Oreochromis niloticus: one gene and its partner. Each later gene encodes a partner of the first gene's protein in a complex. Links are inferred from orthologs where the notes say so. Each region holds a gene or a part of one and is shown on either strand. Other genes may lie near its edges.

Region 1 (16,689 bases):
TTCAAAACGTAATGCCTACTATATGCTACAATAGTCCCATTGAAGATTATTGAAATAATACAGACCAACCAATTGTTCCATCACATAGGTTCCAACACAACGACTTTACAATGTCACACAAAGAGCTGACTTTCAATTTTAGGTGTTCAAACCATGAGTTTCTCTAAATGCATGATGATAAAACCCTGTAAGGTGGCTACATATAAGAAGCTGATATAGAGTAGAGTAGATGGTATTATAAAGGCATTTCATATACCTGGACAGAGATGACGTACACTCCACACGTGAGGCTGCTGAACTGAGCTACGGCCTCGGGATCCTCAGTGATCATCACTATATTCATCATTCCTGCCAGGTGGTTGTAGTACCACACTGCAGCTGAGTACACACACCTACACACACACATACACACACACATTAAATGAACTCACAAGTTTAGCATAAGATGCATGAAGGCAAATTACCCGCTAAAGCAGTAATCTTTAACATCTCCCACTAAGTTTTTGCTGTTTTGTAGGTGGTAGTTATAATTTCACACTACTTGTAATTCAAATGGTGCTTCCACAGAAAGAATATAAATAATAAATAATTGAGTGCCTTATCTATATAATAAACACATTTCATGAGTACACACTGCACTTCTAGTTTCATTTTTTTGGCACAACATAAAAGTTTGTCAGATCATGATTAACATTACAACAAAGTCTCTATTATCAAAAACACTCATTAAATCATTTTGGTGCTTTTCTGTATTAAACTGGTATAAATATTAATAACTTTAAGCTGCCATTCACAAGTCCTCCTGATTTCTTTGTTCCTGCACTTGTTTTCTACCTGAAGTAGAGGAAAAACATTTTTTAAAACGTTAAAATTACCCCTTTACCCATTGAACCCCTATTGGGACAAAACACTAGGAATGCTTGATTGACATCTTAGCCAGTACATGCGCTCTAAGTGCCATATGCATCTGCACCGCTGGCCTGTTGCACAATTTGAAAGAAAGTTAAAATTTAATGTTTAAATTTTAAACTTTCTTAAATTAAATCTCCCAGATGAATTTTGCGCACATGTGAACTATACATTTATGTCACTTTCCCAAAATATTTTTTTGAAACCCAGATATGGCAACTTGACATTTTTAGAAACACAATTTCCTTTCAAGAGTTGCTGAGCAGAAGTAGTCAGGAGGTACAGTCAAAGACATTTTGGGTGATTGGATGATTATCAGGATGTCCTAAAAACATAATTTGAAAAACCTTCAGTTAATCCAATCCTAGAAAAACAGAACATATTTCTCCCATGCTGGCTTCCCTGTTAAATCCAGAATTTAATTTAAAATTCCTCTTCTTACACATAAAAGCCTTGAATAATCAAACCCATTTTACACACCCACTTTGCTCTCAGACTGCGGGCTTATTTGTGGGGTTTACAAAAGTAGAATGGGAGGCAGAGCATCAGCCTTCAAGCCCTTTTTTGTAGAACCAGCTTCCTATTTAGACACGGGAGACTGACGCCCTCTCGACTATTAAGATTAGGATTAAAACTTTCTTTTCTGATTTATAGTTAGGGCTGGATTGAGTGACCCTGAATCCTCCCTTAGTTACGCTGCAATAGGCAATATTGGGGATTTTTGTTGGCATTTTTGCTCAATATAAATAAAATTGAACTGAACTGAATATGTTTAATTAGCATAATCTCCATTTTAATTAATGAGATTTACAAATTTCACATAGTGAAACATGTAACGTCACACTTTGACCCAGAAAAACAAAAGGAAGTCAAAGAAGTATAAGTACAAGAAAAAACATGACAAAGAGGAAAACATGAGAAAGGAAAAGACTTTATTTCTATGATACATGTGCTGCAGCATCTTGACTGTAGCATAGCACAAGCTAATGTAAACACTTCAGTGAGTGTGGTAAATAATGAGCACCGACCTGGTCTGCCATTTTTCCTGGCTCTCGCCCTTCTCTCGTGGACAGTAAGCGTACTTCTGAAATTCATTGGCAAACAGCACGCAGTCGTGTCGAGGGTCTTTGACAAGGGTTCGCAGCCGGTTGTAATACCTGCACAAACGCACATGACAAAAAAACAAGTACATTCAATAAAATCATAAATTACACTCAAGAAACCCTATCATTAGTTTGGGAGAATGGTGGGTGTTAGGTTTATATTGTGGATTGTCATTTATGCTTAGAAATATATATTCATATATGCTTAGAGGTTTATAATCGATTGCATAATGATAAAGGTCTGATCCTTAGTAGTCTGCAAAGACTTTGTGTGCCTTCCAGAGCACTCTGTCATGCACACACATCCTAAGGTCATGAGAGAGGTCATACCTTCTCTTACTGATTTATACTATGGGAGGACACCTACTCTGTATCTGTTTAAGTATAAGAGCCCTTTGTTTAGGTGGACCACTGGACTCCTGGCACCGGCTTTGGGGAGTCGTTCACAGGGTCACATCTTGACACACACACACACACGCATACCTACACATACACACAGACGGTATTCTTTGTTCACATGTATGCTTGTGTAAGACGTCATATGTTAATGAACCTATGCATATTCATGTAACCACAATAAAGAGCAGTGCTACGGGGGAGCTAACTGAGAGTGACTGGGGTTCGAGCGGAAGGAACAGCGCTCGTCACAGTTCTCTCCCTCGTGCACGAGCAACACAAAGAGCTCTGGTGACTTGCATCTTGCTTTTGCCATTGTAGTAGAATTGTCTTGGCATTCCAGCAATAGGTGTGTGCTACACAAACCTATCAGTGGGGGATGTTAACAGAACGTTAACCCTGAAGCACAAGGGAGAAAAAACAGATCAAAGCAACGTATGTTGACTTTTCTTAACTTTTTATTTATGTTCCCTTGTTCATTTTGGCACAGACTCATTTTTTAAATTAACTCTTTTTTTGTAAAAATCAAAACAAAACAAAGAGTTGCCTGTTATATAATATGCAATAGACCTAAACATAAGATCCTGATCTGAAATTAGTGAAAGAGGATGCCACCTGGCTTTGTTATCCTTTAATTGAGTTTCACAATAAAAGCCCAGTTAAAAAAAAATCAAAGTTTTTGGTGAACTAAAACAGCAGAGTACATGCAGTAGCTGTTTTACACTAAAAATTAACACTTGTACTGATCAAACAGATGAAATGAGAAATAAAGGTCTACAAATGCCCCGATCTCTAGTTGAGCTAATAAAGATGATGTATAGAAAATTCAGCAATTCTGCAAAAGTGAAACTGCAAAGAGAGTCCACGATGAAGCTTTTTTCTCTTTGCCGTGTACGTTAAAGTCAATGGAAAACAGTAAGTAGTGATTCAGTATGACAACTCTGTATGTTTCACCAGATGTCCACCGAACACTATCAAAGTGAAGCCTCATCATATTAATGATGCAACACTGTAAAATGGCTGTGTGAGCACAAATCAGAAATAAACTGGACTGAAACCCGAGTTCACGTGGGACTTCTTATTTACAGTGCTCATCAAGTTTGTCCAAAGCTCTCCTGCATGTTTATGCTGGACACATATTTCAAGTCACAGGCTGTGTCTCTTTTAGCTTTGTCAGCAGAGCTTTTGATATAATGAGGCTGACCCCTGGTCAAAGTCTAAAAACGTGTGTAGCTAGGTTAAGCTGGGCACACAGCTAACAGCTTGACTATGAATTATGAATGCAACTCCAACATTTCAAACAGAAATTCAAAAAGAGCATCAGAATGGGGAGGAAAGTCATTTAAAAGACTTTGAGCACGGCTAGGTTACTGGTTCCAGATGGGCTACTGAGTATTTCAGGAAGCAGGTGCCGTGTTTGGGGATAGTTAACAACGCGGAGAAGTTGCATTCATTTTAATGAATATCTGTTACTCTGCCACAGCCCAGAATACAAATTATACCGACCTACATGAGAGAAGATGCTTCGCTAAATCCTGTAGGGTACAACAGGTAGTTGGGTCAGATTGAGGTCGGATTAAGTACTCACCATAATAAAAACCACACTGGAGTACGTTTGAAACTGGACCAAAGCCACATCCTCTAATATATACTGGTGCCGTTATGTTGGCATGTAAGAGAGTGAAATGACTATGTTTACATCTGCTCAAACAAAACCGAACAGCAGGAAAAATGAACTAGAGTTTGATTTAAACGGTGCAAACAGCACAGATGCAAAAACACAAAATGCTTCAGGTAGCTCTCAAATGTCTGTTCAAGCTCCTTATGCTGCAAGCTGAGATGTTTGTATTCATCTAGCTAGCTTCAGAGCCATGTCCCAGTTTAGTTTAGTTTTACTGTGTTTGGCTAAAAAGTAGTAAAAAGTGGAGTATTCTCCTTTCCATTTACAAGATACATAGAATAAAGAGCTGGTTACTTGTTAGCGATTAACCAATTCATCAGCCTAATACTGGTATCAGCTGGTATTTTGCCTGATATCAGCATTTACAGCACGGTGGTTCAGTGGTTAGCACTGTTGCCTCACAGCAAGAAGGTCCTGAGTTCAATTCCATCATCAGGCCGGGGTCTTTCTGTGTGGAGTTTGCATGTTCTCCCCATGTTCTCCAGCTTCCTCCCACAGTCCGAAGACATGCAGTTAGTGGGGATAGGTTAATTGGAAACACAAAATTAGGTAGGTGTGAGTGCGAATGGTTGTCTCCTGTCTGTGTGTTAGCCCTGCGACAGACTGGATAACACATATCCAGGATGGATGGATCAGCATTTACTGATTTCAGTGGTCAATGTGTCTCTTCAACACTACATGGGCTAAGTGTTCAAAAGCTATATGATGAAGAACTAAAACAGTTTCCATGTAACAAAAGGGGCCACAAATAACAAAAACAGAACATCAGTACTCACCTGTTTACTTCCCAGTAATCTTCTTGCCAAAACAAAAACAAAAACAAAAAAACCCAAACAATTGTACCTGCGATTCTTGTTCTGCAGAGCCTGGCAAGCAGTCTGGGTGAAGATGATGCCCTGCAGCTCTCTGAACTCCAAGATCTCCAGGTAGTCGACTACGACAGCAACATCAGGCACCACATAATGGGTCAAATCTCCGGGCAGCAGCTTTCCATCTGTTTGGGAAGATCTATGTTCAGCGATAAATTCTTGTTTCTACAGCTCTTTATTTGCTTGATTTCCTATTGGAAATGTTATCAACTGTGCCAAAAGACACTTAAAAGCATCCTTCTTTTACATTTGCTTGTTTCCTACTAAACGTTGCACAGATTACAGGAATCGATGTACATCCAGAGAAATGCATTTAAATATTTTCAAAAATGTCCCATATAAAGAGTTTATTGTGCTTACACATCACTCCCTTTAAAATACTTGTTTTTACTTTATTTGCACACCAGATGATCATCAGCATATTATATGGCAAAAAATTACATTTATTGTTACTTTGACATATTTCGGTACAAGTTATTATTATGCAGACTATAATGCAGTCTATCTTGATTATGACCCATCATATTAACAGTGAGCTGCCCCGCGGCAGTTTTCCAGGTTTTCTAAAAGACTTTCTTTGGACACTTGATGGTTTTTCACTCACAGTTATTATACCAACTATTTTCATTTTGTTTTAATTTGTTAAGCCTAACCTATGAATCATTCATAAAAAACACCTAACTCAAGGGATGAACCAGGATTATATCTAGACATTATAAGACAGCAAAAATAAATAAATAATTAAATAATTACATTGTATCTTTTTCCAATTTCTTTAGCTGAATCTATGAAAAATGCCAAAGATAATGCAGTCTGACATTCATAAAATAGTGCTTTTTCACCAACAGGCTGATATCCGCAGCACTATTAGCCTAAAACTTGACATAAACATAAACCTGGCATGTCTTATACAATGTATTTCTTTTTAAGTTTTCAGATATTTCAATAAATTGTTGCACCTATTTTCTATTTTCCAAGCAAAATGCAAAGACATGAGGTGTGGCTCACAATGTTTTCAGTGTGCTGTATAACCTACAAACACAAGGAAGATCTGGATTAAGATGAAGTCAATATACACAGGATAAAACCTCTTAAACTCGGACTGATATTTCATAAAAGCGCTGATCATTCTCACCTCAAACACTAAACAGCAGCACAAATGTGCAAGCTTAAGTGATTGTTCTTCACTACAGGTGCACCTATCCAGTATTTGGATCACATATCAATGCAGTCCAGACTCAAAAAGCAAAACAAGGTATTGGTGACAACGCTCTAATCTGTCCAGTTCTACACTGTTCTGCGTTTACATCCCCACTGTCAGCAGCAGATCACCAGCTGATCATAGCATGAAGGAAACCAACAGCAAAAGAGCTGGCAGCCTGGAGGCATTTTACACCTGCTATGCCCAAAGCTTTTCTTTGAATGCTTCTAACAAACTGTGGTCAAGTGAGTGGACATCACTAAAAAGCTCTACAAACCTGTTGGCTTTTCTCTCTTGCTTTCATGCTCTCACTAAATATATTTGGTTTAACAACTACTATGAACACTTTATTGTACTTACGATAGTACTGTTGATTGTGTCAACTTGATTAATATTACACCAATTCACCTGTCTCTCATCAGCTCCACTCCATGCATTACATGCATATGAAGATGTGCACTTAGATTAAGACTGAGAGCAGTGAAAGAAGAACTGTCATAACCATAAAGCACAGATCAATAAAGATTCTTACACTGAGCTAAAATTAACTAGTCCAAATACATTTAGTGAAAACAAAAACATGCTTTTTGTTTTCATCCCTTCAAATGTATTTTTTAACCAATAAACACTAACTCACTAAACGTATATTCTTGGATGTATTCATTTGCTGCATTTTACTAACATTTTACAAAATCAGGAAGGAATCTTTGAGTGCATCCTGACTGCCTCTTACATCAAAGAGTTTCTTCCTCACAGTGAGGAATAGCGCATATTAATTTAACATTGGTCTCAGATCGGTAGCTTGTATGGGCAGAACAAAGTACTGGTTTTACACCTGACCTAGACAAAGTCAGACTGGTGCACTGTTGTGCCAAAAAGTGATTGCCTGCCAAAAACTGATTTCCAATGTTTCCGTGTGTTTTTTTATGTGTAATATCGTAACATATGTTGCTAAATAGACTTTGGTGAACAGGTATTACAAAGGGGTTATATATAAAATTAAAAAATTACCTGTTTCTCAAGTATCTTTGTAACTGGTTACATTATAACCAGTCAGCTCCCTTTTGTCACTTAACATATGTTTACAGAACTATTTTTGCTTTTATTGCAATTTCAGCTGTCCTCTTGGCCAGATTGCTCTTAAAAGAGACATTTTTAAAGTGAACAGGAATTTTTTTAAGTGCATTTTAAGTGCCCCTCTGGCGCGATATGGCAGCCTCGCCTCTGTCAGTCTGCCCCAGGGCAGCTGTGGCTACAACCGTAGCTTGCCTCCACCAGTGTATGAATGTGAGCGTGAATGAATAATGGCATTGTAAAGCGCTTTGGGTGCCTTGAAAAGCGCTATATAAATCCAATCCATTATTATTATTATAAATAAAGCTTATATAAAAGTCACTGCCAAAAACTGATTGCGGCTTCTACCTTCTTACAGGAATGTTGTTTGTTGCTCAAGATGACTTGATATCATTGATGAGGGATACATTTGACATATGTTTCACATATTATAGACCAATAAGTTATTTATAGCAGTTTAAATACAAGCAATCAGTTTTCGGCAAATACCGGAAATCAGTTTTTGGCAGACAATCACTTTTTGGCACAACACCCCTTGCCTCTTATCTGTGCACAGGTGGGATTTGCCATTTAACTGTCATACAAGGTAATTCTAGCTTTGGGTCATACTGTATGTACTTTGCTATTTCACGATTCATGTTACAGTGAAGCAAAATATAATATAATAAAAATTACGTGTTAAAACAAGTTATTTTTCCTCATTTGATTGTGTACGCCCCCAAACCACTACCTGCCAGTATTGCATTAACAGCAACGTTAGATACTTCTATAGCAGCAAACAAAGAGCTGTTTTTGTGAATTTGAGATTTAGCTGATTTTACCATTTACACAGTCGGCCTGACACAGTGAGCTGCAGCAGGGAACCCGCTCTCTCAGATAGTGTTCCCGGACCACTCGGACCTTCCGCCCCACGCAGCTTTTCAAATGCAGGACTCTCTCCGTTTTAATCATCGTCCACACTCACTAATGAGCCACATACAGCCGCCGGCGCTCGCTAACTTGCTGTTCTGCCAAAACGCGGGAAGACGCGGTTGTAAACATTCACGGCAAAGTTCAGGGAAACACGGAAGGAAAGGCACGACTGCTGACGTCATGACGCCCAAGCAGTACCGCGTCTTGCTGCGTTCAAGTGCTGTCGGACGCTCACCCAGGCCAGTAATAGGAATTCTTGGTCTTTTTGATGACCTCGGTACTGACTCGGATCAGCGATATAAGAGCCAACACTAATATCAGCTCTTAAGGCTCCCAAGCTGCATTACCATTTGTCCAAATGCAGCAAAGTTAAAGCCTTTAATTCATATACATCTTCATGTTGGCAATTAGAGTCAAAGCTAATCTGAGCTGCTCCCTTGTCTGTATGTTTTAATTTGGCAGTCTTACGCCGAATGCCCTTCCTGACACAACTACACTACAGCACTGTAGTATGTTAATCACTATGCTATCGAGTAATTATAGTAAACCTTACCATTTCCACAAATTTAAGCAAAACTACATTAATATCGAAGCATCAAGGAATACTACAGATGTATACTAAAGGCTTCATTTATATTGCACATTTTTAGTGTTTTAGTGCTAAAACAGTGTGTAAATGTTACAATTTTGATGCTACTGTAATCTCTATGTCATTTAAATGTAATACCAAAGTAAAAGAAAAATTCTTAAAACATATGAAAGAGACAGAATGTGTATTAAAGATTAACACAGCAGCCGTGACATGGTCATGTCACCCACCCACTCTGTAGAATAGAGTTTGAGGGGCTTTTTTGTTTGTATGTTTGTTTGTTTTTTTTATTTAACATATGACACATGGTGGATTGCAAATATGAGGACACTGCATGCATGAATGAGACTGTCAGTCACAATTGCCTGTTTTATACTTAATGAATGGAACCATGATATACAAAAACATCACTGGCTTCACTTTTCAGTAACCTCAGTAACACAACTAGTTAATAGTGAGGTTCCAAACTGAAAAAGGGAGCTGAGTGTTTTTGGTGTTGCAGTCTTGGCATTTTGATACCAAACTACAAGCCAAGAGTAAATGCATAGACAGTAAAATACCCAGAATGGGTGCAGCAGCCAACGACTGGCCAGAAACACCAGAGGAGCGAAACACCAGCTCTTGGTAGACAGAGCAGTCGCCCGAGACAGTAAGACCAGACTAACCATTGTGTTTACTGGATTGCCTGGATTGACCACAAGAAGGCCTATGACTCAATGCCCCACACATGAATCCTGGAATGCCTAGAACTATACAAGATCAGCAGGACACTAAGAGCCTTCATTAGGAACTCAATGGGGATGTGGCAAACAACAGTAGAGGCTAACTCCAATAACAAAGTCACCATCAAATGCTGGATTCACCAAGGAAATACACTTTCTCCATGGAGAATGGAGCAGTGATCATCTCCTCTACATGGATGACATCAAGCTGTATGCCAGGTGTGAACTGGCATAGTCCTGCCGAGTCACCTGAATGGTAATAACAAGATCCAGGATATCAACACCTTTGCACTGCTGGAATAATAAGCTGACCAAAGGAGGAGATAAAAGCCACCATGCATGGAGGGTTTCACCCTGAGGCTGTATGCTAAGCAGAAGGAAGGCGGCCGGTGATTAGTGAGTGTGAGAACCACGTTCCAAATGAGGCAACAAACATCCGGAAGATAGTAACAACTCACTGCGTGCTTAGCGAATACTTCAGGCAGCAGAAACCCAAGAAAGAAGAGGAGCAAGACAAGGAACCATCATAGAAGGACAGGCCCCTGCACAGGATGTACAACCATGAGATAGAGGAAGTGGCTGATTTCCAGAAATCCTACCAGTGGCCGGAAAAAGCTCGACTGAAAGACAGCACAGAGGCACTAATCATGGCAGCACAAGGACAAACTTCTAAGTACAAGATCCATAGAGGCTGGGGTTTATCACACCAGGCAAAGACCCCAGGTGCAGGCTGTGTACAGAGTCAATCCAGCAGATAACAGCAGGCTGCAGGATGCTAGCAGGCAGGCCATACTTGGAACGCCATAATCATGGTATACAGGAACATCTGTGCCAAGTATGGCCTGAAAGTCCTGAGGTCAAAATTGGAGATGCCCCCAAAGGTGGTCGAGAATGACCAAGCTAAGATCCTGTGGGACTTCCAGATACCGACAGACAAACCAACCGAACATAGTAGTGGTGGACAAGCAGAGGAAGATGATTGTAGTGACAGATGTAGCGATATTTTACTGTTGGTATGATGCTCCTTTTCTCTCAGTTATTTATCTGCTAATCCCTTCATCCCTTGTCTTCTGCAATGTCTCCACAGGTCAGAGTGGCTGCAGACGCTGGGGGGCAACAGAAGCACCAGACCATGTGTGTTCAAGGTGTAGGCAGTCAGCATGTGTTTTCTGGGATAACTGGGTAATGGAAGTGGGACACCCTCAAGTGGTCTGGCAGAGACGTACTGTGTACCAGTAATAGGCCAGGCATTGGTAGACTCGGGCTTTCCACCAGACCCTGGTCCACCAAAACTTGGTTTGACCTGGGGCATTGCTGGAAACAAAGTGGGTAGAGGTCAGGTATATTTTTTTACTTTACTTTTCTTTACTTTTTGGAGTAATGACCCTGACAAAGAAGGGAAATACCTTCAACTTCTGTTTGTAACGAGGTGTTTTCATACTGTTTTATTGCTACTTTTGCTAGAAACACTTGTTATTATGAGCTAATAGTAAATATTTAGATAACTATAGACCATCCATCCATCCTCATCCGCTTTATCCGAGGTCGGGTCGCGGGGGCAGCAGCCTAAGCAGAGAAGCCCAGACCTCCCTCTCCCCAGCCACCTCCTCCAGCTCATATATAAGAAAGAAAAGAGTAGCAGCTCAAAATGAATATTTGAAGTTGATCCAATGTGTGTTGTTAAACAGCGGAGGAAGTGGTTGTTAAGCAATGCAAAGTAGCAGGCGAAGTGGGTCATTCCTCTTGCTGCCTCTGCTGCTCTTTGGCTGTGCTGTGGAGAGGAGCTGCAGTAGAGCACCAGCACAGATTCTGCGCTCAAGTTGAGAAGTGCTCCGACACAGATGCTGAGGACTTAACTCGTGTTTATGGACCGGCATCGTTTGAAAAAGTCTGTTGTAAAATGACGCATCCCCGCTAAAGGTAAGCACTAAAAATGATGTTATCATTGTTTTTCTACACGCACAGTTATTCGTTTAAGGGGGATATCGAAAAATCACTATTCCGCAGGAAGCAGTTTGTAATTATATTTCCTAATATTAATAATCTCTCTCTCTCTCTCTCTCTCTCTATGTATATATATATATGCTACATGAGCACTTTTGAACCAGATTTTGAACCATATAAGCACAATAACCTCTTGCTATTTCTTGCGATTTAATGATTTAATAACTGTTGTCTTTCTGGCGATAATATGAGGCTGGCTTCCCCCAAAAGTTAGTTTCATAACTAATTTTTGAGCTGTTCTGCTGTCCCGTCACTGTACGGTTTGGCCCTGTTTACCGCAAGTTGGCTCTTTGTTAATCTCCCCACTTTTCTGTTCAGTTTACAAGCTCCACGGCTAAACTTCAGATCCCCTAACAGGAACACAGTCGACTCTTTTACATGTGGATGTAGTTCAAAAATTAAGCAGCTGATTGATCAATTGCTATTGCAGTCAGCTCCTGTTGGTGTTAAAAGGGTGTGACTGTGCACTGAGACAGTCCTCAGCAGTCCAGACTCTTTTATGAAAGAGATGAAACTGTTAAGTTTTATTAATTAGGATGATAATTGGGCAACAGAATGATTATTGCTGTTGTAGTATATCCACCGAATCCGCCTGAGGAGTCACAGCAGGCAGAGTTTAACGAGCTGTCAGCGCTAGATGGCGATCTTGAGCAAGACACATAAACCTGGAGGTGGTCCACGAGGCTTTCCATTGTGTATGCGGAGGTTGCGTGTCTTTGAACGTTACATCCACTGGTTGAAATAAATAGAATATTTGCATTCGGTGACGATGTAAAGTTCAAAGTCAGTAGAGAGAGTGATATATGTCAATTTAGAGCCTCACAAAGAAAATGCAAGTTCTTAAGAGAGACGCTTTTCAATTTCTGTTTTGTGTTCTGCTTTCAAGTAGTTAACATTTATTGCGCAGCTGTAGTGCTATGCAATATGTCACGGTTGGCATTTGTCACAAACATGCCCTTGCAATAATAGTAATGCAGCTTTTGACGACTCCTGGGCTCTTACTTTAATTAAATGAGTTTTACTTTTTAAGATGAGGCTGTGTGGGTGGCATCGACAGTTCAAGACCATAAGTTCTCAGAACCATGTGCAGGTCAGGGCTGTACCACTAGCACTCCTTTGGCAAGATGATAAGGTTGTAAGAAATCCAAAATGCATTTATCTAAGAAAAACAAAGTAAATGAGAGCGATGTTAGGTGGCTGCAGGCTCACTTATAGACCTCAGTGTCAGGAGCACATGGCTTGTGAGTTGCATCAATGTTTGACAGAAAGAAGAGAGCAGTGTGATGTACAGATGTAGTCCCAGTTGTCTTCGGGCTAGATAATGTTCTGAAATTTGCGATTTAAATGATCAATTCACGCAACGCTGAATTTTAAAAAGAAATAACAAAAATTTAAGATAAAAAAAATAGTATAAGAAAAATATATGAGCAAAGAGAAAACAGCCTTCTTATTATATCAAACACCTGTCAATCCACATTGTCAAAAGAAAAAAGTGCACTTTAAATAAAAATAATAATGATAAAAAACCCTCATGGGTTTTCTGTTAGATTCAAATAAAACACAAATAAAAAAAATGCCCCGAGGTCTTGTTTATCTTTTCATAGAATACATTTTTCCAGTGCAAAGCTTGACAAAATTCATTTATCAAGTCCCCCCCCCCCAAACAAACACAAAATAATTCCTTTTTGTTGCTCATCAAGCAGGTACTTCTGAAATCAATTCACTTCACTTGAATTCAGTTTCAGCGCCAACAACAGTTGGCTGAAGGCGCTTTACATTGTATGATGATATGTTTAGCTTGGCAGATGTAACACATTTTTCCACATTAACTAATACTTGCAGCTGTGTAGTAACAGTACATACGGATTTCCGATCCTCTGATTTCAGTTTCCAAATTCTGAATATTGACTTGTAAATAATGGAATGTGAAATAAGGGGGTAGGAACAGAAAAACTTCATCCCAATCCTCTTCGAGCACGAACCTTGTGTAGATATAGATATTTTCATGAAAACTTGATGTTTTGAAGTTTTTCTTTTCTCTTATTATTTCTGTTATATTTACATGTTTGATTTAAAATGATATCTATCTATCTATCTAATGCAGTCATCATATAATGTGAACTCTGATGTGCTTTTACAAAACATCTAATTTTTTCTATTTAGATTAAAGATTATTCTAAAGTTCAAATAATGTGATGAACGTTAGTTTGAAGGCTGTTGTGGGTTGATTATTTTATAGTTTTTTGAAATACTTTGGAAGAGATGGTTCAAAACCAAACCTGTTTTAAGTAAAGCCAAACCATTATAGTGGTATTTACTGTACTATGAAAAGTATTTCCCCCTTCCTTATCTCTTTTGGGATTTTTTGGATATTTGTCATACCTAAATGTTTCACAGCATCAAAGAAATGTTATTACTAAACAAAGATAACTCAAGTAAGAAATAAAGTGCAGATTCTGAATTGTGTTTTAATTTATTAAGGAAAAAAAAGCTATCCAAACCTACCTGACCTTATGTGAAAAAGTATTGGAAGTAAGTTTTGGAACGCTGAGCTCACTTTCACCAGTAACACCCACACCCGATTACTGCCAGACCAGCTGAATCAAGAAATCACTTAAAACCTGTCTGACAAAGTGAAGTAGGCTAAAAGGTTGCTAAAAGCAACTCTTGCTACAATCTAAAGAATCGACTAAGAAAGAAAGTCACTGACTATGATGAGAGCCATCATCCACAAATTTAGAAATCTTGGAGCAGTGGGGAACCTTGCCAGGAGCTGCTGGTCTACCATGGCTACTCTGTGATTGACAACTCATCCAGGAGATCACAAAAGAACACAGAACAACAGAGCAGATGACTGCTTGCAGCTGTATTAATAGGAGTCACTGATTGAGAATCTGTTCTTCAGCTCATGTCAAACAACACTTTGACTCCTCCATAGGCCGCATCTTAATAGTCCCTCAACACTGCTGCACTTGTGTTTTAGTCCCTAAATGGTAAACATAATTCCAGTGTTTAAAGAATAACAGGCTGTTGAGGGTACTGAAGTGTGTCGCCAGTAGAAAATAGTTCCTGTAGGCCAGATATCCTCCCATGCATACAAACCAAATAGTCCGCTGCGCCTTGCAATCACAATCACAGCCATTAAATACCTGATTCGGTACAGAGTATACAGCAGGAAAATCAGAGGAAGCAGTGTGCTGTTCCTCTGGGCTTTTGTGGGACAAGTGGAAGATTTTTTTTTCTTGTCCCTGAAATTCAATGATGTATGTGCATAGTGTTGAAAGTACTGTTTGTCAGTCTACTAGCACATTAAACCAGACTTTCCATTTCCATTCCTATTTTGGCACAAAATGCTTTTTATATTCATGCTCATTTTGAGAAAGGGAGAAAATACATTTACATCATCTAGCACGTCAAGCAATATTTGAAAAAGATAAACGGTTTGGGCAGGAAGAAAGTTCGAGTTTATGCACAAATGTCTTGTAAAAATTCATAAACTAGGCAGTGTTGTCCTTTTCTTTCATGCCAGCAGAAAGCCAGTTTCCTGTTACTTTATTTTGTATACTAACATTATTAGACTCTTAAACATGACCAGATAAATCAGCGAGATTATTGGTGGGATGGCGCCATGTCACTGAATTACTGTTGTGTATTTACTAGGTAATAAATTTGGCAGCAGGAGCCTGTTAAATGCTGACTTTCACCTAAGAGCTGCTGGTCGTTGGCATCTGATGTGATCTTTCCATCTTACTGTGGACAGACCACGATACTGTGCTGAAGCAACAGCAGCAGCAGCAGCTGATTTTCCAGTTTGCTGACCCCTTTCTCTAGGGAATCCTACATATTCTGTCAGATCAATACATGTAATCAGTGCTGATAAATGGGAGAACGCTAGCTGTTGTTTCTCAAGGACATGTCATATTGGAGTTCCAGCTCTTGTGGCCTGAGCTTCTTATGCTGGTTATTAGAAAAAAGATGCAGGAAAATGTAATAGCAAGTAGTGTTATATATGGTATTAGAATAACTGGTTGATTGCTAAAAGGTTTGTGTGTGGGTGTAGGGGGAAGCTATGAATTATGGAGAGAATTTGTCAAAGAGTTTGAGCTCTGTTCTCTCAGGATGAGGCAATGGCAAAACATCAGCCATGCAATTCAAATAGCTCATAAGGTGGAGGTAAAAAGGAGAGACCATTAAGGCCAGCAGCCCATCGGCTCTCAGCATCCTATTCATCGTGCAACAAAGGCCGAGCAAGCAGGAAGAAAAGCAACATGAAACATTTTTAAGTGGTTCTGCCTAGTGGGCACTTTAGAGTGGACAGGAGGGAGGGCGATGGGGCTGGCCATTACAAAGCATCATGAATTCTGTCCTTAGGGCAAATGCACGAGTAACACATTATAGACAAAACAGATGGAGAGCTCCCACGTGAAGGGAGAGAAAGAGAGCAGCGTCGTACGAGTGCAGGACAGGATAGGTCACTGAGGTTTCAGGGGTTGCTGTGACCTGGCAAATTGACACATGCTTTGAAAAATGGAACCAGTGTGTGGTTTGTGTTTGCTGAGGGCATGCAAAGGCTTTCTTGGAGAGGAGGCTCTTTTCACCAGCTTGTGATGGAAGCCACAATAGATACAGTGCATCCCAAAAGTTTCCACAGCGCTTCACTTGTTCCACATTTGTGTTATGTTGCAGCCTCATTCCAAAATGGATTCAATTAATTTTTTTACCTCAAAATTCTACATACAATACCGTGCAATGACAAGGTGAAAAAAAAGTTTGCTTGAAATTCGTTCTAAAAAATAAAAAAACATAGAAACATGTACAGCCTTTGTCATGACACTCGGGTGCATCCTGTTTCTGCTGATCTTTTGTGAGAGGTTTTTACAACTTGATTGTACAGCTCTCCTTTGACCCTGACTAGTCTCCCACGTCCTACTGCTGAAAAACATCTCCATAGTATGACACTACGATGCACCACTGACAGTTTTGCATGTCACATAATATGCTCAAGCTTTTTAATTCATCTGCAATTTTTTAAATTTTCCAGTTATTTCTAATATAGGTCTTTAAACCAAGTTTGAAAGCAGCTGTTTATTTACCGATATGTGGTCCTCACAGGTCAACCAGCACAAACATGATGTTACAGAGTAAGAATAAGATTGCTGTAAATATGAAGAATTTAAATGAACTCAGTTTTATCCCATGCAGCTTTTTACAATGAAGGCTGTAAAACTG
Region 2 (16,892 bases), on another chromosome or scaffold:
CGGCTCAGGGGGGTTTAACTTTACAAACTTATAATCATTACACTGGTGAAGTTTTTTTTTTTTTCAAAAGGCCTCCATGTAATATCAAAAAGGAGATGATGAGATACAGCCCCAAGGAAAATACACTCCCTTGGGGCTATTTTAAGTGCATTTTCAGTTCTGAGATGTGGGAAAGTAATGGCACTATGCAACATGGCTTTAAAAAACAGAAAGACAAGTAGTTAGACCACCAGACTGCTTCTCTTTAAATATCTATTTGACATTACAGGGAAATCATTCACATGTAGGTATAAACACCAAAAACTGGTGTGTAAACCCATTTATGATCATTTTACTGATAAACTTTATTGATCACTTTATTGATAATGCTCATAAGCTATTTATAAATCCCAACAGGGTATATGATTTTTCCCCAAGATACAGTAAACTGGACTTGGCTTTTTGAATGACCTTAGTGTCAAATCATGCACTTTTAACCAATCAAAAGTCATATCAGGTCAATTCAATTTTATTTATACAGCACCGAATCCCTACAGCAGTCACCTCAAGGTGCTTTACAAACAACACCCCCCCCCCCCCCCCCCCCCAATATAGAGAAAACCCAACAGTTGAATGACACACTTTGAGCAACCACTTGGCAACAGTGGGAAGAAAAAACTCTCTTTTAACAGGAAGAAACTTCTGGCAGAACCAGACTCGGGGAGGGACAGCCATCTGTCGCAACGAGTTGTCAAGTCAACAGTACTCAGGAGATTTTTTCTTTACAATTAGCAATTGTGTGTGCGCGGAGTAGTACTACAAGTACGATTATTTGTTATGGTCATATCTCCCAGATGGACCCTTGGACTTCCCACTGGTTACCCAATTCTTGCCTGTGGCCCTTAAAAATGTTGTTTATGGTAATTTAGGTTTTAGAGCAGGTTGTCCACTATTCAGAAGGTCAGTGGTTCGATCCCTAGCTCCTGTATCAAACTAAGAGTAAAACAAAGTGCTATATTAATTACAGTCCATGTATCATATAGTAAACTAAGAGAGGGCAAAGCACTAACTAACCTTACGAACTTGATTAGTTACATGAGTAAGCCAATATCACAAATAACTGACACACGACTGTGGTGCATCGGTCACCTCGCACCGGGACAATCTAAATTTAAACCTGTCCAAACATGCCTGTCTGTTTAACTGGTGATCATAAGATGGCTGCTGGTGTGACAGTAAATTGCCTCTTTGTGTTGGCCTGTTTAAAAAGAAAAAACACTTAAAGAAAAAGAAACTGATAACAAGAGCTGAGCAAAGGGTAAAAGAGTCTTCCTGAACAGAATGCATGAAATTCACTGAGTTGAACAGGAAAAAAATGGCAGCAGAAGAATGTTAACTGGCTGAACCTAACTGTATGCATCATAGTGCTACCAAAGCTGTAAAAGGCAATCCTTGACCTGCATGACACGCTGGTGCTGCAATTGTCATTGGACCGCTGGAACAACATAACAGAGTATGCAGCACAAAAAAAGGTACATTTTGACACTTTATCCACTTTAGACAGATTTTTTATTCCAGTTATCTGCTGCACTGATCATGTACCAGAACAACAGGTCATGCCTGTCCACTGCACTGTAACAAATTCAGGACCGAGATTAAAATTTTAAAAACAGCCGCCAACTGTGCAGCTGCCCACCTCAAACCAAATCTAACCAGACATGTAATCTCATCTGCTGTTGATAGAGCAGAGCAGGATTCAGAGGGAAAATGACTGGGGAGTGTCTCCATTACCTTGACAATGGAGGGGTCAGTGAATGCCTCATTCAGGATGTACATCTCGCTGCGGAGCTCCAAGGTGTCGATGATGAAGTCCTCCCCTCTGGTGGAGATCTGCATCAGACAGGTGAGGCCGAGGAAACTTCTGTAGGAATGATGCTGCGATGAAGAACAAAGAAGAAAGTGAGCAGTGAAATTTGTCCAAAAATGTCCAAATGAACAAATTCGTGATGCAAAATTTTAACATTACAGGGACCACAACACTATGCATATGAGCTTTGTACCTCCAGGTCCACTGCAAATTCAGACAATTTGCACAGCTTTTCATTTAGAGCTACCAAATCCTCCAGTGTATCAACAAATGACAACTTTGTCTCAGCTACTGGTTTGTACATCTGAAAAGAAACCACAGATTAGACAGAGGCCTAACCAACAGTGACAGCATCATATTATAGGAATCACACATTAAACATGAGTGTATTACCTGAGGCTCTGGCTTAGACAGAAGATTTTCTGGTATTGTAAGATGGTCCAATTCATATTGGTATGGGTGTGCAAACCTGCATGGATCATAATCCCAAGTTTAGTTGCACATTTAAAAAAAACAAAACACGGAAGAATATATGATGTGAATATTAAACAAGGTAGAAGGCTTACATGTCATCAACATGTTCCTGAGTTCTTTGCTGGTGGATGAAGTCAGCCAGGGCAGCTGGGACATCAAGGTCCTCAGGCCTCTCTTTACGCATTTGTTTGTTGGTAAAATCTATGGATAGAGAACAGGAAAGGTAATAAGTTTGACACGCTAAAGCAGGAGTGTCAAACATAAGGCCTGGGGGTGAGAATCAGCTCAGGAAAGACGCCGCTCTCACCCACTGGATGGCTTTGGAAAATTAGACTTTTTTTTTAACTTTATGAGCATGCATCAAGACATTAAATTTACAGTTAGACTTCTTTTCACTGACAGAAATCAGAGTTTCACTGGTATAAAAGGAGTTTGACATCCCTGCGTTAAAGTGATTATATTGTAATCAAAAACTTGACACGAGAAATCAATAGGATGAGGAAGAATATGAGAGTGAAAAGCATGTCTTACAAGATGGAAGTGGCTTTACTGCATTTGGCTTGATGAAGATCTTGGGTATAAAAGGCGTGTTGCTGTTGTCAACTTTTTCCTTGAATTTCAGCTGAGGTCGTGTGATGTTCTTGGCATGGAGCAGTCGAAATGTCTCGGAACGACTGCTAGAACTGGACCCCTGATCAATAAAAGCATTGTTTAGGAAAAGTGTAGAACAAACATAAAACTTTCAAAAAACTTTTTTTTGTGTGTGCGTGAGATTTAAGAAACAACTGCCAGGTCTGGCACATATTGTTTCTTCTTGAATTCGGCCCAGAGCAGACACTGGCATCTGCAGTGTAATAGCGGAGAGGTTAATTAGCCAACCTTGCGATTCCAGCTGGAAACGACAATTTTTGGAGGCTGGAACCCTGCAGGCATGACAGGCTGCTGGCTCCTGTTCACCCCATCAGCTTCATCAAGAAGAATCCCCTGGAAATCAGACATGAGAGCTCAGGGTTACTTTGCAAAGACTTTTTCGTGTAGAAACTCGTTCGACACCCACGCTGCGGGTCATACCACTCTTTCGAGGATAACGTCATTTGAGTCCACGACCAAGTCGAACCTCTCCTCCAGCCCTGTCAGCTTGTTCCGGTCTCTCATGTGAGATCTGCATCCATGGTGTTGCATTATCTGACTCATACTAACACAAAGGCACAGTGAAAAGATTACATTTTGCTTACTGATGCACAGCTAGTGACAGGTTAGTTATTCAATAAAACAACTCATCTGCATGCATGTCAAAGGGCACGTCTGCACTAAAGCCTCGTGGGAGACTTCTGGAAACCTTTGCTGACCCCTGTTTAGTTTGAAAACTGCTACCTTGTGTTTTAATCTAGAGGTCCAGCAATTAAGAGTTTCTAATAACAAGGCAGCCAGCCATGTCTGCATCCTGGATGGGTCTGATCGCTTACTAAGGCTGATAGATCTTTTGTTATGCTGCATTATTTATAGTTATCATTGTGTTTTCGCTCTACTTGTGTAAGAAGTCCCAGTGCCATATGTCGCACAATTGTTTATCCACCTTTAGGAATCACCAGTCGATACACTTCACCTTTTGGTGTATTTATTAAAGCACTGGATGATTATGGATCTCTTCTGTTCAGAAAACCACAGTCTGCAAGCAGTTAGCTGCAGCCAGTTTCCCAAAAGAGAGGAGCTATCTAGGCATTACACAAAGTCTTATCTGAGAATGTGCATCTATCTGATTGGTTAAAACAGGTGGGGAGAAGTTGCTTGTTTTGCAGGAACTGAGGTGGCCGTGACCGATATCAGGCACCAGTTATCGTGTCTACAGCTGCCCTCATGCATTCTTTTATACTGAGATGTCAGCAGATTTCTAATTAGTGCGAGCGACTAAGCAATAACTATTAGTCAGTAAAACACTGTAGATTCTACTGATCCCAAACACATATCAAAACCAACACGTAACAACTTAATACTGGTGTGTTACTTTCAGTTACGTTTATAACCCATCATCAGTCGAAGCAAACGATCACTGATCGTGTTTGCTAGAAGCATCACATGTACATGTAGCGTATGAGCAAAAGTCTTGAGTTCATTTCTTTGTATTTCGTTTCCAAGAAGCCAGACCTTCTTGCTATTTTTTTAAAGTGCTTTTCTCTTGAGCAATACCTCTCCAGGCTTTCTCAAAGTATTTCAAAGGCTTTTGGACACTGGCTGCTTTTTCACTGATTTTAGTACCAGTACTTGTATCTGACCATGTTCAAAGAAATATTTTTTTTAGGCCACTTAACACTGACCTATGATTCATGCAAGCTTTAAAAAGGCACCCAACTGAAAGGGGGAACCAGTGCTGTGCCTACACATAACTTGGCACACAGCCAACTGTATCTTTAGGCATTTTGCTACTAGAAGCCTGTTTAAAAAACATCTTTTTGTTCTCATTTCTGTAGATGAATCTATGAAAAACGCTAGTTTATGCCCGTGAAATGAAATGTCTGACGGACATAAAAATAGCACTTTCTGCACCAACAATGTGATTCCCAGTGAGCTATCAGCTGAAAATTTGGCCTACCCTGGCATGGTGTGGAGTATGTTGTTTAAAAAAAATAATGAAACTGGAAAAATGGAGGCCCAAGGAAATAGTGGTAGGCATTAAAAACTATGTACAACAGGTAAAGAGGATTAAAGTAATCAGAAAGTGTCTCAGTGGAAGGATGGTTGTCAGGAAGCCATTGTTAAGGAAAACAGGGAGAGAATGAGAATATGCCAAATTACATAAGAACTGGATTGAAAATCAGTGGCAACAGGTCTTACACCGTGAGTGTCTACAGCCACCTGAAAAACATGGTGGATCCTCTGTCATGAAACAGAGGGCAGCCAAAGACGAGCCCTGAATGTTTTCCAAGAAGCCTGGAGAACCATTCTCGAAGACTACTTAAAGAAATTACAACAGAGCTTACCTAACAGATTTAAGGCTGTGTTGAAGAATAAAAACGATCATACCAAATGTTGACTTTCAAACTCATTAGACACATGTACAAACTGTCTCTGTCTTATATACTGTATTTTTATCTGCATTTGCATGTTTCAATAAACTGCTGCACCGACAAGAAATGACGGGTTGCTCGAGACTTTTGCAAAGTACTTTGTAAAAATAATGATGTAAGAATGTAATATACATTTAGAGGCAAGCGGGTATAGATGGAAATTACTTTTTAAAATGAGTTGAAATATGCTTGGTATACGGATATGGTTTAAGGTTTAAAAAGTAAAACATTCATGTGGTCTGATTATCATTAAGATCGGTTTTCATTATAAGTGGAGTGTACTGCTGCAAAACTGTAGTGTTCCTATACACTGTAGTGTATATAAAATATATATACATATACATATGTATATATTGTGCTATTTCTTACTTCTTGTATTGTCTGTTTTTGTTACTGTTTGTACTGGAGCACTGTAACCAACATAATTTCCCATAGGGATAAATAAAGTATTCTGATTCTGATTAACTCACTGAATGCATTGTTGAATCTGTGAATTTAAAGAATAAAATAATGCAAGAACACACTATGTTCTCACCAGTGCAGGAGCTTATCTCCTTGACTTTCACAGAACTCCTGGAATCCTGGGAAGCTCCGATAGAAATCATATTCATCCCCAGCTTGAGGTAGGCCGGCAGATGCTTTGGTGGCTGATAATACAGCACCAAACCCATGCTGTAGAGAAAAAGATAGAGCTGTTAGTTACTGCTTTAAAGCCATTTTCAATAAATTGAAATGTTCATTATTACTTACTGTTATTACATCATATTGAGGGAAAAATAAGGTTTATCCACAGGGAAAAGCAGCATGGATATAGTGCTTATTGCATAATTTAAAATGCTCGAACTTTGTCATTGCTGGCTCTGTTGACTTTATATAAACATAGGCTGTTTAACCAAAGACTTTAATACAGTGTGTGGTTGGTCCCATTAGCTACTTTAGGACTGGATTTCTATCACTTTTCGTCCGTTACTTGCTACACTGCATGATAATAACTGTTAACTACAGACTTTCACATTTCTAACGATTCAGCAAAGACACTCCAGACTCGTAACGTCGACCTTTACCTTTACAAACACCTGTATAAAAGTCATCTTGTCTCAACAGCTTGCTGTGTATGTTTTCAACCAGCTATCAGGCATCCACGTTGCGTTCTTGCCTGCTAGCATGAACTCCAGATTTGTTTACTTACTTTAACAAAAGCGTCCACGTCTCTGAAACCGGGACACAACTCGTCTTTGTCCTCGTCGTTGGTGTCCGAATTACTGTCCTTAGGGCCACTGCTCTTTAAATCTTTCTTCTTTGAAGAAGCCATCATTTAATTTGGTGCTGTGTACATGTGTACCGCAGGAAACAACTTGTTTCTTCGATGATTCTTCTGGGCCACTTGAATGCCGAGGGACAGACAGCACCACCTAACGGTGTGGGGTGGAAGGGCCACTACAAGGCGGACCGTATCACAGACAGGATGCACATATTTTTGACTTTAATTATGCTGCGCTAGGCTTAGACTGCTGGGGGCTTGGGAAACGTTTCTTTTTCATTCACCTATTTTCACACTCTGTGTTTATACACCACACCACAGCTATTATTAATGTCTGGCTCTCCTCCACAGTGTGTCTTTTCTCCTGACTTCCTCCCATCACCCCCAACAAATCGTGGCAGATGCCTGCCCCTACCCGAGCCTGATTCTGCCAGAGATTTCGTCTTGTTAAAAGGCAGATTTTCCTCCCCACTGTTGCCAAGTGCTTGCTCACAAGGGATTGTTTGATTCTTGGGATTTTTGCTCTATTATTGTAGGGTCATCATCTTACAACACAAAGAGCCTTAATGATACTGTTATTGTGATTTGGCACAATAAATTAAACTGAACTGTCTTCCTCCCATCATCCCCATGACTGCCTCTCCCTGAGCCTGGTTTTGCTGCTGGTTTCTTCCTGTTGAAAGGGAGTTTTTCCTTCCCACTGTCACCAAGTGCTTTAACATAGGGGGTCATCTGTTATTGTAGGCTCTTTACCTTACAATATGAAGCCCCTTGAAGACACTGGTGTTGTGATATAACTTTCACTTAAATTCTTCAATTCTATTTCAATAATACTGATTTTCTAGGGTTAACCTCTACCTCTAAAACTGTGAACTGACTCAATATTGGTTATGAATCAGAATATGACTGAGTGTTCTGTCTCTGGTCCTCAGTGTACCTGTTCGGTGCAGTCATACTGCAGGCACAGCCTCATGTCCAGTTTACTGCCTCACCCTGGAGAGATGCACTGGGATGGTGGGACCATTAGGGGGCAGTATTGACATTTGCAATCCGCAGCAACCGTGCCACAGCATCTGCTGCATTGGGAGGCAATATACACCAATCATGTCTCAGCCAATATCTCTCTAAGGGATATTTGAATACGAAGCACTTTGCAGTTTTCAAGCTAAGGTGACCACCATGAGTATACTAATCGGACATAAATACATTCCCCTTAGTCTGGTGTAAAATTCCACTAATTGCAGACAAGTTACAGTGGCCTGGTGCTCTTTAGTGGTCAGTGGTATGCGAGGAGCCCCGGCCAAAGTATTGACACACTAGCTCATTACGGATGATCTGTGGTATGTAGGGAGAAACCTATCTTTTCTTCACTTCCCCTTCATATTGATCTCTTCACAGGGTCCTCTCCCTCTTATTATCTTAAAAGCATCTCTGCAACACTGGGCTCAATCAATATTTCACAGCAGCTTTCCCTGTCATTCTGTTGTTTTAGTGGAAGGTATCTGAAGTTCAGCAAATACATGCTCTAATAATCCAGAAGAAATTCAGCAGTACTCTTTGTGAAGGCTACAGTAAAAAAGCCATCTGCTTGATGTGTGCTGTAGACTGTATTTTTTCGATATGGCGTGTGACGTTAGTATTCAAAGCATTTGATATCTGTGAGGGCAGTCCTTATTATACAGTGTAAGAATACAATTAGTATATTCAGCAAAAAACCAACAAAACACCCTTTAGATGTGTTCTTTAGCCACCGAAAAGGACATTACCGCTGACATTTACTTCCATTTATACGCCTTTTCATAATATTATGCATTTTATAGCTTTGACGGTGCCCCAAGGCACCACTCAAAGTCTTGCAGTCTTGCAGTAAAACACACTAAAACTGCTGATGCTGAAAATGACAGCAGCACACATATAATTCAGAAAAAAAAGATTTAAAAAAATCCAAGACAGGAACCCTCAATGAATTGTTTTTATTAACTCCCTCATTTAGAAAACACAAATGCACCAAACGATATCATACATGCACAGCTTCAGCATATCAAGATCAGCTGATGACTTTTCAATGTGAAAACGCTGCTGCCACGATCTCACGGAGATCACCTCGACATGAACATATTGAGGAGTCACGACAGAAAGGCCAAGCGTTGTAACCCAGAGCTGTAATCGTAAAGTCTGTACGCACTTATAAATCCAATGAAACTACTCGCACTCGTTTTAGGATCAAATTTGCCTTTTCTGAAAATCGTAAAGCTGTATTGGTATAAAAAGACAAAAAGTACTCGTAAATAATACCACTCGTATTATCCACTGTGCACTGGCCGGCTACCTTGTAACAGGTAGGTGTTTGTGTCACTGCACCAAAAGGCTGTGTGTGATAGCAGCTGCTAGGAAATGTTACTCTCTGCTCATGTATTTTTCAGATTCAGGGTTTGACTGAGAATTACAATTGGAAGCAGCACTGTTTGGTTTCCTGGTTGGGGGAGGGCGGGGGGCGTTGCTAAAAAAGCCAAACGAAATACTTACATTATGTACAGCATCATTTATGAAGGCAAGGGAGATCTCAGCGCACCAACTTTTGATTTAGAAATCTCTGGCTCTTAATTGTTCTGTTAAAAACAACACTTGACCTTTGTGCAGAATCTTTAGGGAAAAAAACCCAATCAGTAACCATATCAAACATTAAAAAAAAGAAGAAGAAGAAGAAGATCAAAGTCAAACTCAAAACATCTCCACAGTACTGATACGTTACAAAACAGAGGTTGGCAATGCTTCTATGTACCCAAAGACACAAGTTCTTTTTATCAGTTCATATAATCAATAAAATTAGCCAGAATGATGCATTTCCTGTGTAAACATCTGTTAGTCTAACAATGTCATTCTGCGATGAAAGAATGTATACAGATTAACCACACGTAGAGCCACGAAAACAACGAAACAGGACTCAAAGACAGCTTCAACACTCATCGGGGAAGTAAACCTTTACATTTAATGTGAGCTTTACCTGCAACATGCACCTAATGTGCCCTTGGATTTGGGTCCCTTTCTGCTTTTTAAATCTTACTTATTCCTTCGCTCCGGGAATCCGCGTTAATTGGAAAGACATTTCAACTCCTCCCTGAGTCAAACTCACTTTTTAAAAATCTCTGCCTCCCACATTGACCTTGTTTTGCTCTCGTTCAATGTCCGCAATGCTTCAGTCGCACAAAGCCTTGAACCATAGCACAAGAAATGAGTTTACCCCCCCCCCCCGCAAATAGATAAATGGTTGTCTGAAAGCACTTGTCCATGATGTGGCAGACTAAGGTAATAACCGTGCACAATCATGCTCGTACACATTTACGCACGCACCTTTCATCGTGTCGTCTTGATGAGATTGTCCTGATTTAGTCTTCCCTAAATCCTGATATATTCGCCTTCTGTGAGTGTCATTAGTACCATTACTCCTATGCCCTTTCCCCACAGAAACCCCGCAGGGCTGCTCTAATTTATTAAGATGTTTTAATGTCTGCTAAATCTTGGCACACATCAGGCTTTCCGTTCATCAAGTCAGACTGTTAAATAGACCCCTGTGTCCTGTGCTGACACATTTCAGATCTATCCGCTTCTGCCATCTCAGAGCTATTGAAAGATGAAGTGAAGCAGGTCTGAATACCTGAGCTGCGGGGTTTCGCTGAAATACATAAATAAACAATGACAACACGGACCACATAAAAAAAAAAACAACCAATACGACTGACAACAAAGGACAGATTCACAGAGTATTAAAAACACAGCTGACCACACATTTAGCCAAATAATGTCTAAGCTGGTGGCTAGATTTCAATTATCAGACTGGCACAATTGGCAGCGCTTTAAACCTCTCGTCCCGACTGCAATGGCTGTGAATATACGCTGACTGGCACTGGCTGTGTGGTCCCAGATGGATGTAGACTGGGGCTGCAACTAATGATTATTTTCGGTATTGATTAATCAGTCAGTTGTATTTCCCATTAATCACTCAGAAAACTGTGAACAATGTATATCCCTCTTACCCAGAGCTCGAGGCAACATCCACAGATTGCTCATTTTGTTTGTTTCAAAGCTCAAACATATTGGATTTTCTTTTTCATGCCATACATTAAAGACATGAGAGTTCTGGATTCTGATTGGCCACTAGGGCTACGTTCACACTGCAGGTCTTAATGCTCAATTCCGATTTTTTGATCAAATCCGATTTTTTTGTCTGCTTGTTCACACTACAAATAAAATGCGACAGCAAACGCGCTCTAGTGTGAACGCTCAAAGCGGCCCGCATGCGCAAAAGAAGATGTCACACACAACGCGCTGTTTAGACCCACAGCAAACAATATTGTTTGACTGATGGCCTTTAATATAAAGACTTCGGACTTTACGTTTCCCAATTTTTGCTTTAAGTTATTTTGTTATTTACATAATAATGTAAATAACCTAATAATGATCCTTATTGCTGTTTTAGAGGAGCGGTGCTTCAAAGGATAGCTGCAGATTTCTGTCAGAATCTGCAGATTATACAGTACAAATAAAATGTTCACGTTGTCTTCCCAACAGTTTCACTGACATCTACACTGGATGGCCAGGAAGCGTTCGCGATGTCTTCTCCGGCGCTGATAATTGGCGTCTGTCTTGTGTCAGTGACGTAAAAGACGGATTTAATGCGACATGACCGTTCAAACAGCAGTCGCTTTCTAAAACATCGGATATGTATCGGATTCAGTACCACATACGAAAGTGACCCAGATCGGATTTGAAAATATCGGATTTGTGCCGTTCACACTGTCATACCATGATCGGATATGGGTCGGATAGGGTCAAAAAAATCGGATTTGATGCGCTTTCGCCTGCAGTGTGAACGTAGCCTAGGTGTGTCTTCGCATCTGGTAACCAGGCAGCTGCTTTATTATAAATTAGCTCATCAGCATTAAACTGGTTTGACAAAATAAGCTTCACTCATGGAGCTTTCAGTCGACAGGAGGAGAGAAATGTAGCTGAAAGCTTCCAAACAAGCAAAGAGACTCCTTAGTTCAGATTATTTGTGTCATTTCTTTAAACTGTATTACCTTACCTATATAACTCTATCATAGAGATGCTATACCACCCTTGTGCGTGCATTAACAACAGAACCAGTGCCAAGCTCTGTTAGGAAAGAGCAAATTCAACCATGTCGGAAGCATAAGAATTTTTCTTTGACACCGACGTGAGGTGTAAAATGCAATAATTGTCCAAGAGAGACTTTGAGTCTTTAACTGAAAGTACTGGCAATGTTTCCGTGTAAACACACTGGTGTTTAACAAATAAAAGAACGCGGCAGAGAAGTTCAAACCCAGCTTGCTTTCTCACCTCCACACGGCTGGCAAATCACAGCGTGAAGTGGGTGTGAAGTGATTGTTGATATTGTCAGTTTAGTCAGATAGAGAAATTTGTTTGTTCCGACTACCTGACGTGCCCCGTCTGATGAAGTAAACAAATAAGTGAGCTTCAGAGGTGCTGGCTGTGAATACTGGACAAAGTCAAGCTGACGGTTTGCTAAGCTATGCTTACGCACTGGTCCCATTGTCAGTGTGCTAACATGAGAGTGGTATCAGTCTTCTCTTTTAACCAACCGTGGAAATATCCATTTGAATGTGACATTAGACTGAATGACATTTTGCTTCTCTTCGTGCTATCAAAGGTCAGTAACCAGCGGCCTGTACTACAAAGCAGAGGATTTCTATCCAGGTAACTTTAGGTTAACCCTGGGTTTTCTGTACTATGAAGGTGGTTCGCTTTTTATCGTCATAGTAACTCATGCTGTGAAGCTAAAGAAGCTTTTGTTCCATTTTAGCAACCAACAGGTATGAAGTCACCTCCTACTGATTAATCAATTCTCCAAAAACAGCATCATGATTCCTGAAACATCCCTCACATCTGTGGATAACAGGAGGGTCTAAAGGGAAATCTTTGAGTTTCCCTGATCAGCATCAGGAATAAATTTAACAACAATTTTATTGTTCTGAAAGCGTTAATATGTGATCCTAAAATCCTAAAACAGAGGAGCTACTTATCTATATTTTATATTTATTCTTAACTCTCGGACCGTTAAACACCACCAGGACTGCAGCAGAAAGAATAAAACCTAAAACTGTCTTTTAAACATTAATTAAAGGGAATATTCAATTATAACCCATCAGATTCTCCTGGGTTTTAATGATAGAGCTGTGATATTGATAATTCAGTAAACTTACACAGTGGGCATTTTTTCAGTCCTGGCTTCAAACAGGCTAAATGCTCACGCTTTCATACAGCGCTTTTAATACTAAACTACTGTACAGCGCTTTTCCTCACGCTGCAGCAGCTGTGTTGGTTTCAGACTGTTTCATTTTTAACCTCTTCATTTTTTTCCCATTGCATAGTTTTATCTTCTTTTCTCTGTGATTGGCCAAATGCTGCCAGTGCCAGAGAACATGCAGATCATTTTGCGAGAACGTGCAGGTTAAACCCTGGGTTGACTTATCAAGTTGATAACCAGCTTACCAAGCGTAAGGATAACTGAATTCTGATACTGGAGAAATACCCGGAGTATGCTGAACTCACTTTGTAGTACAGGGTCCAGGCAAAACCTTTAGCCTAGCGAGATAAAGGAAATACTGCATATTCCAAAAAATTAATGTGAAAACAGGAAAGTGAGATTAGAAAATCCGATACAAAAGTAACTAGATCACCCTCTAATTTTGATTTCATATAGTGGTTTGTTGGCAGATCATTGCAATCCCATTCAAAGTTGAACACTGTGGAGGGAAATGTAATAAAAGGTACACCTTGCTGTGTTTTACATCTTAAACAACAAAGTCTCACATCTGAGAAGCTGAAGCCGGTGAACATTTGTCATTTTTCTTTGATAAATGACTTCAATGACTGCTGTTTAAGTTTGCTGAAGCACTGGTGCTGGAAAAAAAGGAATTACATTGGCAGTTACACACCTCTGCCGGTACTGCTGTATACAAGCAAATGTAAAATTTGTGAACGCAGAGCAAAGTCAAATCCATCATTCGGCAGGCTATAACTATAACTAGCGTGAGGCATTAAAACTTTTAGGAGCTTTCATGGTACATTCAGCTCCGCACAATCAAAAGATAAAAGGTAAATGGAGGACAACGGCACTATGAGGTGTTTTATGAGTTTCATCTGGGACACAACCGACTTTTAAAGGATCACGTAAAGATGGAGATGGCTGCAGTATGTTCTGAAAAGTACCACTAACCAGTGTCTATAAGTGACGCCGATACAAGAATCTCCAAGGCACGGGCGCAGGTGAATGAACATGTCCCTACTTTCTGATTTTGGAGAGAACTGAAAACTCAGAAATACAAGGAAACAAACAAACAATCATAAACTTCTCTTCAGGGCTTTCTGCAAGGTTCACTGAGACCTTCGTGATAAGAAAAGTGAGGAATAAAATGTTGAGGAAAGCATGTAGCTATCTTAGCAATAACAACGAGAAGGCTGAAACTACTTTGGCACATGAATGGAAGTAAGGCATCTGTATCATTCTAGAGTCAAAAAAGAGTTGAAATGGAGCATTGTTCCCAACCAGCAAAAGTGGCAAAACAGACTTATGTAAGAAAAAAAAAAGCAAGCGTTTACTGTTAATTAAGTGTCTGACAGCACACTCTTCTCTTGTGCTGCTGCATACTTGCAAAATAACACTTGAAAAAAATATGCGGTACTTTAAAAAAAAATGCAAGAAAAGAAAAAACCTTGACCACTTTCACAAATTAAAGAAAACAAAACAAAACAAGAGCCAATAGTGAATGCTGAAAAAACAGAGCAGAGTCTGTTTGTGTCACAACGATGACCTGAATGAGGATACTGCGATGGTGAGGAACAGGGAGAGGGGGGAGATCTCCACACTGCAGGCTCTGGAGCCACGGGCGCTCATACCTGGGATACAAGAAAAACAAGGTAAAAGCACCGTGGCTGACATCCGTCTGAAATACACATTTCTAACCCAAAGTTTCAATTCTCTGCTCTGTCAGCTGCTGAGAATAACACGCTTAGGTTGTCAAAACATAAAATATGCATGCTGACGTTTCATGGGGGTACTTAAAATGCGGTCCAAACTCGTTTATGTGCTGGCTTTTAAGTGCATGGGTAAAAAATGTATTAGAGGAAGTGAGTGTGAAGGACCCAGAACACTGATGCAGTTTGCTTCAATCGCTGCTTTCTCACTATATAATATACTTGATAAAAATGACTCTGCCAGACAGCGCGTTTCCTGCTTCTCTGGGAACGATGAGCCCATTTAACAAAAAAACCCCCCAAAACATGTTGAATTCTATCTCTCTGAACTGCTGTTTTCAGGGATACGACACAAAAGTTCAACAATGCAAAGTAGCATTTAGGGCAGGGGAACAGCCCCCGCTGGAGTCCCACAGGACACCAATAGCATCTAGCCAAAGCGAGTCTGTGACAGAGATGGATTGTGTTGCATATTTCAGCAAACTATAAGCGCCGAAGAGCGCAGCGGGGGTGGGCTGGGGCCTTGAGTAATGGTAGGTCAGGGGAGGACAAAGTGTCCCTGTCAGATTGACAGTGTTAAGTGACTTTATTTACAAAAATGGGCAAAAAAAAGAAAGAAAAAGGTCCCAGTGAATTCATATGTCAAATTTTGGCATTTGTCTGTGTTCCTCTGTGGTACGAGAGCAGCATATTTTAAAGGGAAGGGTATGAGGAAAACTCAAATTATTCTTTCAGCCTTTCATTTTTGATCATTTAACCACTGCAACTTAACAAAACATGAACACCGAGCTTACTTAGCTGGTGGATTCGTATGGGATCTGATGCCGGCCCTAGTCCTCCTTCACTCAGTGTCTGCACAAAGATGATGTACTCCTCATCGTCCTCAGGGAGAGTCAGCTCTGCTGTTGCGTTGACCGTTGTGAGTGTGATTACCTCTTTGTGTCGCTGCCTCTGGTATGACAGCTGAAAGGGGAACACAAACAAGGTTGTAAATATGTTTTCTAACACCATGACAACTTCAAACGCATAAGCTTCGTGGTTACCCGGTGCACCAAGTTCCTGTGAAAGGAACTGAGAAAGTAAAACTCACTTGATAGCCTAAAACGTCTGATTCTGATTCCATTGCCACCACGGGTTCCCAGTAAACAGACAGCTGAGAGCCCATTAGGTTCCATCCCACATTCATTGGCGGCTGGGAAGGTGCTGCGTGACATAAAAATTATTAACAATTTTATATCAGTGCAGAAACATTAGTGTCACATTGGTGTATAATCCCAATTCCAAAAATTTTGGACACTGTGTAAAATATAAATAAAAACCAACAGTGTATTCACAATAAAACAAGGCAAACATAACAGATAATTAAACTGAGACATTTTAATATTTTATAAAATATAATAGCTCATTTTGAATTTGATGGCAACAACACATCACATCAAAGTTGGGAAAGTAAGTGATATTAAAAAGAAACGGCTAAACAGGTTCATCAGCAACAGGTCAGTGACATGATCTTAAAGAGGCAGAGCTCCTCTAAAGTAAAGATAGGCAGAGGTTCATCAATCTGGAAAAAAAAATGTGTCTGCAAATTGTGGAACAATTTCAGAATAATGTTTGTCAAATTGTTAGGACTTTGAAAACCTCATCATCTGCAGTACATGATGTTATGCAAGATTCGGGGAATCTGAAGAAATCTCTGTGCACAAAGGACAAGGGCAAAAATCAACACTGCATTCACGTGATCTTCGTGCCCTCAGCCAACGCTGCACATATCATGCAAAGAAGCTGTATGTGAACACGATCCAGAAGCATCTTCCCTGGAAAACTGTTCTGTGGTGAGACAAATTGAAATCCGAAAATCTTTCTGCAAAACATGGACACTACGTCCCCAGATTAAAAAGGAGAGGGACGATCAGTGATGGTACGGGGCTGCGTTTCTTGCCTATGGAACTGTCAGCTTGTTCATCTGGAAAGACACCATCAATGCTAAACGGCATGTACAGTTTTCAGAGCACCTGGAGCTACAGTACGTGTTTTAGCATACTATTCCAACAGCATGGCTTTGCAGTAGGAGAATCTGGGTGCTGAACTGACCTGCCAAGTGAAAACATCTGGTACAACCTGAAATGAAATATGCGACAAAGAAGACCCAGAAGTGTTGAGCACCTCGAATCTTATATCAGACAAGGATAGGACAACATCAGTCCAGCAGCTTCTCTCCTCAGTTCCCAGA

What was found.
Region 2: dis3l (region 1) and exosc10 share a complex: the UniProt entries of both Homo sapiens proteins name them as parts of the RNA exosome complex. The link is inferred for Oreochromis niloticus from reciprocal best matches to the Homo sapiens genes DIS3L and EXOSC10.

What each region holds. Positions count from the first base shown.
Region 1 is NC_031965.2:3,296,535-3,313,223, reverse strand, and holds the start of dis3l (DIS3-like exonuclease 1), read right to left. Parts: upstream 8,330-16,689; 5' UTR 8,185-8,329; coding exon 8,055-8,184; intron 5,084-8,054; coding exon 4,933-5,083; intron 2,067-4,932; coding exon 1,938-2,066; intron 393-1,937; coding exon 257-392; intron 1-256. UniProt on the Homo sapiens protein: Catalytic component of the RNA exosome complex which has 3'->5' exoribonuclease activity and participates in a multitude of cellular RNA processing and degradation events.
Region 2 is NC_031984.2:22,528,844-22,545,735, forward strand, and holds the start of exosc10 (exosome complex component 10), read right to left. Parts: upstream 6,789-16,892; 5' UTR 6,701-6,788; coding exon 6,575-6,700; intron 6,058-6,574; coding exon 5,921-6,057; intron 3,516-5,920; coding exon 3,392-3,515; intron 3,305-3,391; coding exon 3,200-3,304; intron 3,012-3,199; coding exon 2,852-3,011; intron 2,522-2,851; coding exon 2,413-2,521; intron 2,316-2,412; coding exon 2,240-2,315; intron 2,151-2,239; coding exon 2,040-2,150; intron 1,915-2,039; coding exon 1,771-1,914; intron 1-1,770. Other genes in the region: cntn3a.2 (contactin-3), read right to left, coding at 14,487-14,584, 15,457-15,625, 15,753-15,865. UniProt on the Homo sapiens protein: Catalytic component of the RNA exosome complex which has 3'->5' exoribonuclease activity and participates in a multitude of cellular RNA processing and degradation events.